2 linked regions of the Drosophila melanogaster genome follow. The protein of the gene in region 2 purifies or fractionates together with the protein of the main gene of each other region. This does not show direct contact. Each region holds a gene or a part of one and is shown on either strand. Other genes may lie near its edges.

Region 1 (3,600 bases), 2.2 Mb from region 2:
CCGAACTGAAAGAAGTTTTAATTCCGGTTGGATGGGTACTTATCATTCGTTTTTTGTTGGGTACAAACAAATAACCAATTAACATATTCGATTAGATTAACCTATTTCAATTATTTACAAAAGATTCCCATTGAAAATAATCTGCTATTGAACTGCCCAGTTTACTACTTCTTTACAAAAATATAATTTAATTTGAAAGACCACAAAATAAACCAGAATTGTATAGCTTGTTGTTCTCCTTATTGTTAAAAAGTTTTCTTGGAACAATACTCCATTTCAACAACGCTTCATAAGAATGGAAAGGTACATAAATAGACACATATGTATGTATATTAAAAACCATTAAATTCAACAATGTATGAGAATAGCGAAGAAAAACTTTTAGCTTTTTATCCCGAAAATGGTTCTATTTCAACTAGATTCAAATACTTGAATAAAATATTCTTTACAATTTTAGGAAAATATATTGTGCTTTTCAAAAAAATTGTTTTCGAACATCAGACAATATCGCCGTTCGCCCTAACGAGTGTCCACTGTGCGCATCTCTCACGCGACGAACGGCAACAGGTCGACACGTTTCGCTGAAATGGAAATAGCACCTGGGGCGCAGAGCCCCGCCCTTCAAGCAGATAAAGACGTACGTATTGCTTGACCTGGAATTAGATTATAGAATCCCAAATTCCAGCGAGAGCGGCGCATTTCATTAGCATGGTTGAGGTTAGGGCGAAGCCAACGTGAGAAACTGGGGCAAGTCGAACTGCAACGTGCAGAAAATCGTGTTCCACTGCGCATGACCTCCAAAATGTCCAATGACGGTAACGGTATTGGTGCGGGGCATGTGTACATCACTGTCAAAGGTCAATAACTCCGCGATTGCCCCAAAAAGCAGCAACAACACAAACTAACTGAAGTCTGTGACTCAGACGGTGGTGGCGCCCTCTCGTTCCCACTCACGCCGCCATATGGCGGCGTCTACCTACGCATAACTGCAGATTTGGAAAGAAGTACAGACATGCGGATTCACAGTTGTTTTGTATAGGTGTTCCGTTTAATTTCAGTACTGGTGTTCCCATTTTCGGTCTTCGTTGCTTTTTGATATCTTAGCGAAAATGCATACTAATTTGTAGGTGTTGCTATCAAATTATTATTTTAATTACAATAGGTGGCGCAATTGAATTGTTTAGCTCGCTGTGATTAAACAATAAACATACAATGTCGAATTTATAAGCGCTCCGGTAAAAAGAAATTAGATATAAAATCGCACTGATCGAAGACAGGCATTTTTGTCAGCGTTTTTAAACATAAATTTAAGACTTTCAAAATTGTAACTAAGCATCTGATAAATATGTATATGTGTGTAGAAGGTATGCATGAGTATAGGTTCCGTTTTGTTTGGGGGATTGGGATCCATCTAGCATTTCTCCTCCTCCAGACCGTGCTTGAAGAACATGAGCACGGGCACGCTGTCGCCGTTGATTTCGCGGTATTCCACCAGGGCCACCATGCCGTCGCAGTCCATAGATTCGCCGGTGAAGAACTGCAGCTCCTTGAAGCGGCCAAGGATGTCCTTCATGGCCTTGTTCATGTTGGTCTTGAAGATGTCGACCTGGTCGGGCGACTTCTCCTCCAGCTTGGCCAGCACCTTCTTCATGTAGTCCTTCAGGTAGAGGGTGTACGACTTCTTGTCGCCGAAGGCGAAGCACTCCGTCAGTCGGTGGTTAAGCACAACATCCACGCCAGACTCCGAGGTGATATCAGTGCCCTCGTCGGCCTCCTCGGCGGATGCGTTGGCGCCCTCCAGCTTGATATCGTCACCCTGGCGGGTGATCAGCTTTCCGTACACCTCGTAGATCACATCATCCACCAGCTTCATCTTGTAGGTGTCGGCAAACATCTCGTCGCCGGTGATGATATCCTTGTAGATCTTCATGGTGATTGGCTTGTCGGGAGTCGGAAGATGGCGTCTAAATCGCTGGCGAAAATGCAACTACAACTGCACCGGACCGGGAACACTGCGAAACGACCTGCCACGCGCTCACTCGAACAGCAAAAAGAATGAGCGAGAAAAAATGGCGAAAGAACTGCCAACTCGCTTGGGAGTGGTAACGATTGATCCGGGAGTGGCAGCGCCTACTATACACGTATCGATAATTTCAATGTTTTCTTCGATTTATTGTTAGTTAAGAGCAGGGAATATTAACAAGGCGAACAAAATTATTATAGCTATAATATTGATGTTTCTTACGTATATTTATGGCCATTCTAACTTTTAATAATTTGAGACTGTTTCAGTAAAAAAGATAAATATGTGTAATATTCTCAATTGGAATAATATAAAAGTGGGAACAGAATTAATCATATAAAGTAATAACAATGTTTTACAGTTGATATAAAATCAATACTTTCGAGACTTATTTGTTTTTTACCAACGTAGTGGCATCCCTGTTTGCGGTAATATCGCGCAGTCAGTGTACGGTCCCATCAATACAAGTTCGAGTGAAAAACAGGGAAATGTACGTAATTTCTGTGATGGCACTGCAAAAACCCTGATTTGTGACTGCTTTTTGCAGGTATGCACTCTCCAGTTCTTTGATCCGCTCTCCGGCGCTGCGCCAGGGCCTCCAGATGGCCGCTGCCAGCCGCCCGGTATCGATGAAGGTGGTTTCCGTGGCCGAAACCCAGAAGGACGAGTCGTTCTTCGAGAAGAACGAGCGCTTGGGCAGGGAGCTGTCGCCCCATCTGACCATCTACCAACCGCAGCTGACCTCCATGCTCTCGATCTGTCACCGCGGCACAGGATTGGCCCTGGGTGTGGGTGTTTGGGGTCTGGGATTGGGCGCTCTGATCTCGTCCCACGACATTAGCCACTATGTGACCATGGTGGAGGGCCTCCAGCTGAGTGGCGCCACTCTGACCGCCCTCAAGTTTATCATCGCCTATCCGGCTGGCTATCACACCGCCAATGGTATTAGGCATCTCCTCTGGGACACCGGACGGTTCCTGAAGATCAAGGAGGTTTACTCCACCGGTTACGCAATGGTCGCCACCTCTTTCGTGCTATCCGCTATCTTGGCCCTGCTCTAAGTCCAAGACCCCAGCTAAACCTATTACATTTTAGTGCGAACACTGTGTGAAAATTGTTATATACTAAATACATGTAGTGTGTATATTTATAAAGGTGTTTGTTGTGTTACGCAATCCATTTTGTTGCTTTGGGCGTGCTGCATACGTTTGTTGTGCGCTGCAATTTGCACGGTGTGCGTGTTTTTAACGATTTCGGTGATTTGTAGAGTGAATTCAGTGTGGAGGCCGGTTAAATAGACATCTTGCGGTCCATTGACAGCGAAATCAAGTATACGCCCCGAACAAGCGATTTCCGATAGCAGAATATTACTTACATGCGCCCAAAAGTAGGGAATACTTTTTATAGGCTTAAATTTACATGAAAAATTAAAACCAAATGCAAAAGGGCTCCGAAAATGTATTTATTTAAGAGTAGCTCTTTGGCTTCCCTAACTATAGAAAAGTCTTCTAAAGATCCTTTTACTTCGGAACTGAAGAATCTTTTTATTAGATGGGGGATTCAGTTCATGTACAGAA
Region 2 (3,962 bases):
TGTAGGGCGGCCCAACTGCGGGAAAGGTAAAATAATTAGTATTGTTTGGCCCACGTAATTGGTTTCACACATTAACTCACTTTTGACCTGCTTCTTGATGGGCTTGGTGGGATCTAGCCAGTGCTTGACGTGATTGGCATCCATGAACTGCAGCCCAAAGTAATCCTTCTCGATGATGTCCAGTGCGTAGAATACCTGTTCGTACAAAAAGCTGCCCAATGCCTTTTTCTGCAATCGCAAACAGCAAAGTGGAAAATTAATGCTTCCGACGGGGGGCAGGTGTAAATCAATGCGACCCTGAACTAATCACGTTCGCTTAGCGGGTTAAATTATGTGCTGATCAGCAGCAATTTGCTTATTTTTATCACACGGACTGAGGCAATGCAAGCTGCGGTAGTGTCTTCATTAGGGTGGACCAATAAATGAAATGGTTAAAACGTTTGCTACACAATTGTTTTGGGCTGTTTTGAGAATTCAATACTTCTCTTAGCAGAGTGCATTTAATGGACAATAAATACCCTGACTTACTTCTTAATATAAATAATATTTCTGAGCTCAAATTTAAAATTCGTATAAAGGATAGAGCTAAAGATGATTCGTAAAATTTAAGACATTATTTATTTAGTACGTAATACTGAGCCGCCCTACCAACCACTTTAGCTCTATCTTTATCTCTACCTTGACGGTATTCTCTTATAAGATCCAATCGCTTGTTTGTTTGCCTTCCGAAAATTACTGCCAACGGCAGCAGTTTAAAGGGTGAAAGCCAAAAAATCGAAAATGGGCCAAATGTAATTCGATGTGGGCCCTCCTGTACTCACCGATAATTCGATGGAAAGGTCAGTGTTGTCCAGCAGAATGACGCGGCAGTCGATTTTGTTCTTGTTGACCACGATGCGTTGTGGCTTTATTTGTGAGCTGCCGCCGGAGGTGATGGCACCACCACCCCCAGCCACGCCCACCGCGGAACTAGTTGCCCCGCCGCCCTCTCTCGAATTATCCACATAGTTGTTGCGCACCTTGCGACGGCTTAGAAAACGGAGCATTTTTCTGGATTTTGTTTGGTTTTAAACGTGTGTATGTATGTATTATATATTGCGGGTGGTCGTTATTGTTGTTTTCTATGTGTTGTTTTTATGGAATTGTTGCCAAGGCAGCCGAATGCACCGATAATTCACCTGTGTGCTCACCTCGGCTGGGGAAAAAAGACAGCGCAGACATCAAAAAACCCCTCACACGCACACACGCGCAGCCAACTTGTTCTGGCCAACACACACGTACACTGACTAACCAACACACTTGCAAGCGATAGACGCCCCCGTTTTACTTAAGTTTTCCTTTTAGTTTTTTGTTTTTTTCTTCACTTTTGGTTCGGGGAGCTGAGCTAAAGTTGCTGGCCAAAGTGGGCGCTCCTTTCGGGCGGTTTCTTTACTACGGGTTTTGGCTCGTCGCACCCCCTCCCCCGCGAAAAAATCACTGTTAGCCTGGTTTTTGGTTGGCGAAAAAGAGGAGAGAGAAAAAACAGGCCAGCCAAACACGTTAGTTCCCGCTTCGCGAGGCGACTTTCCGGGTATTCAATCACTTGTTTTCACACTTTATTTTGTTGGCGGTGCTGCATCGTCCGGTCACTATTATGTTTTGTTATTATTTTGGGCTATTTAAGTGCACTTTCGGAATTTTTTTAGGAGTAGAATGTAAGAATGGCCGCAGTAGTTGTTGATCTTATGCGAGCAGTGTGACCAGATGTGGTCACGACAAATATACCAAGTACACAACAAATTGTACATGTCGGTTTTCGGTATTTCTGTGTGACCGTCGAATTCAAATCAGGTGCAGAGCCACGATATTCGTTGAGCTAAGACACGAACCTCCCCGCTTGGCTAGAAAACAGCTAATTCGTCCATTTCAATTTTACTTTCTTAATTTTCCACTTGGTTTTTCATGTAACCTGTATTTTGATAGAAAATATTATAAAAGATCTTACAACAAATGATAATTTCCAAAAATTAAACAAATGGAAGTAAAGATTGATTTCAACAAATTTTCTATACGTTGTGCAGAAAATTCTAATTAATTAAATTTATCCAAACTCATCAAGTATTTTGCTACAGTGTGATTCTTTCAATTCAAAATTGTTCAACGTTATATTTATTAGCTAATACACATGGGATAATTAAATAAATCAGAAGAAGAAAGCACGAATATAAATCGAAATTATGTAGACACAGTAAAAAACAATTCCAGCCATATTTTGCATCAAAAGAGAAGCTACAGACTTGATCATAATATTTTGACTTTTGCCTGTGGACAAGAATCGCACAAAACTTGTTGGCATTTGCGGTCGCGCAATTCTTTAAGTTTAGTACAAGCAACTAAACTAGAAAGAAGTGCACAATAACTGTAAAATAGGAAACACAAGTGGGTTCCGTAGTTGCAGCCGGCATTTGCAAAATCCTTTTTATGGGCAATTTATTCCTTTATTTGTTAGTGGATTTAAGGACGTAACAGTGTCCACTCCCGCACATCCCAACTTCCCTAACTTCCCCAACTTCCGCACCCATTTTCCTCCGATTCACCCTCGATCCCCATTGGTAGTCGTATTTCGAGTTTAAAGGTAAATGGGAGATTTATCGCCGGCGATTTCCGGTCTACATATATGTGTGTGTGTGTGTGCGAGTGTGTGTGTGTAGAGTTGGCGGTGGGTGGGTGTTTTAACATCTTGGCTGCGGGCCCTGTTTATATCGGGGTTTTAGTGGGCCCTCGAGAGGTTCGGCTTTTGGGCCGAGGGCTTTACAACATTTTGCGAGAACTTGAAGCCATTGGGCGCCAATTGCATGATTCATTTTCGCTTATTGGCCATTAATTCTCAATTCGCCCGATTGAGGACGATATATGTAGGTACATATATGTATGTATGCGCATTTACATTTTTATCGAACGCATTAGATATCCATATATGCTGTAATTACACAATTGGCCGTTATAACAAGGCGGATGATTAATTACTGACTAATACCTGAAACCCGATCTGTGGTCGGGCATCGATGGAATCGGAATCGCCCAGCAGCCCCGTATCGCCCATCCATCCATCCATTCATCCATCTATTTAATAACTAGGCAGGCGACGATGCAGGTCTTTAGCCATGGCCAATGTCTTAGGTGCCAGCTGCGGCAACTTGAGCAGCCAGTTCCGTAATTATGACAGGCGGCCAAAGGCCCCGGACCCCCGGCTTCAGTTCTCTGTCCATGGCATCCAGATCCCAGATCCCATATGCCAGATCCCCAGATTCAGGTCCCGTCCCGGCTCGATTTTCTCGGCCGCAGGGGTGTGGCAACAATTAACAAATGGCTTGCGTTGCCATTGCCATTGACCAAAATAGACATGTTTGCAAAGGGTTACATTCATATGTACATATACGCAGCCAAAACGCACAATGCACTCGAACAAATATATCCGAAGGTGCCAACAAATTTTCAAAAACAATTAAATAGGTATTATTAAAATGTTAAGAGTAATCCTAAGAATTAGTATAGTTATAACTGATAAATTCTCCTTAATGTTCAAGAAAATATATATTCTTTTTGTAGATATATCATAAATAAACGAAGTGTTAAATGAAATAATTCGATAAATTGAAAATACTCAAACGGACCTGTTGAAAAGAACAATAATGGGAAAATTGTAGTTTAAATGTCCATATGCTAATTATCTTCTGTTTACTATTAATTTCTTTAAAGTAGATTTATAAATTACGCTCAATAACAGTGTCGTTAGAAGTCTTACCCATTTGGTTCAATAAATTCAGGAAGTGAGTTGTTGCCCGAATTTAGGCCACTTATTTCTCCCTGTACCAAATGTGGCCTTTTGTATTGTCTTAACGATAATGGCAAGTCGTGGGTATGTAATACGAGGTGGGCAAATATTTGCGTCCGTTTGAGTGAGTGTGTGTGTGAGGTGCGGT

The links. The genes of interacting proteins can lie anywhere in the genome.
Region 1: the proteins of yrt (region 2) and Tctp purify together in Drosophila melanogaster (affinity purification with western blotting, with the first as the bait; one study listed by BioGRID). This does not show direct contact.

The regions. Positions count from the first base shown.
Region 1 is NT_033777.3:11,208,711-11,212,310, reverse strand, and holds Tctp (translationally controlled tumor protein), read right to left. Parts: upstream 2,065-3,600; 5' UTR 1,931-2,064; coding exon 1,412-1,930; 3' UTR 413-1,411; downstream 1-412. Other genes in the region: SdhC (succinate dehydrogenase, subunit C), read left to right, coding at 2,512-2,513, 2,571-3,084. UniProt on the Drosophila melanogaster protein: Involved in calcium binding and microtubule stabilization.
Region 2 is NT_033777.3:13,433,227-13,437,188, forward strand, and holds the start of yrt (yurt), read right to left. Parts: upstream 1,759-3,962; 5' UTR 1,047-1,758; coding exon 822-1,046; intron 229-821; coding exon 81-228; intron 16-80; coding exon 1-15.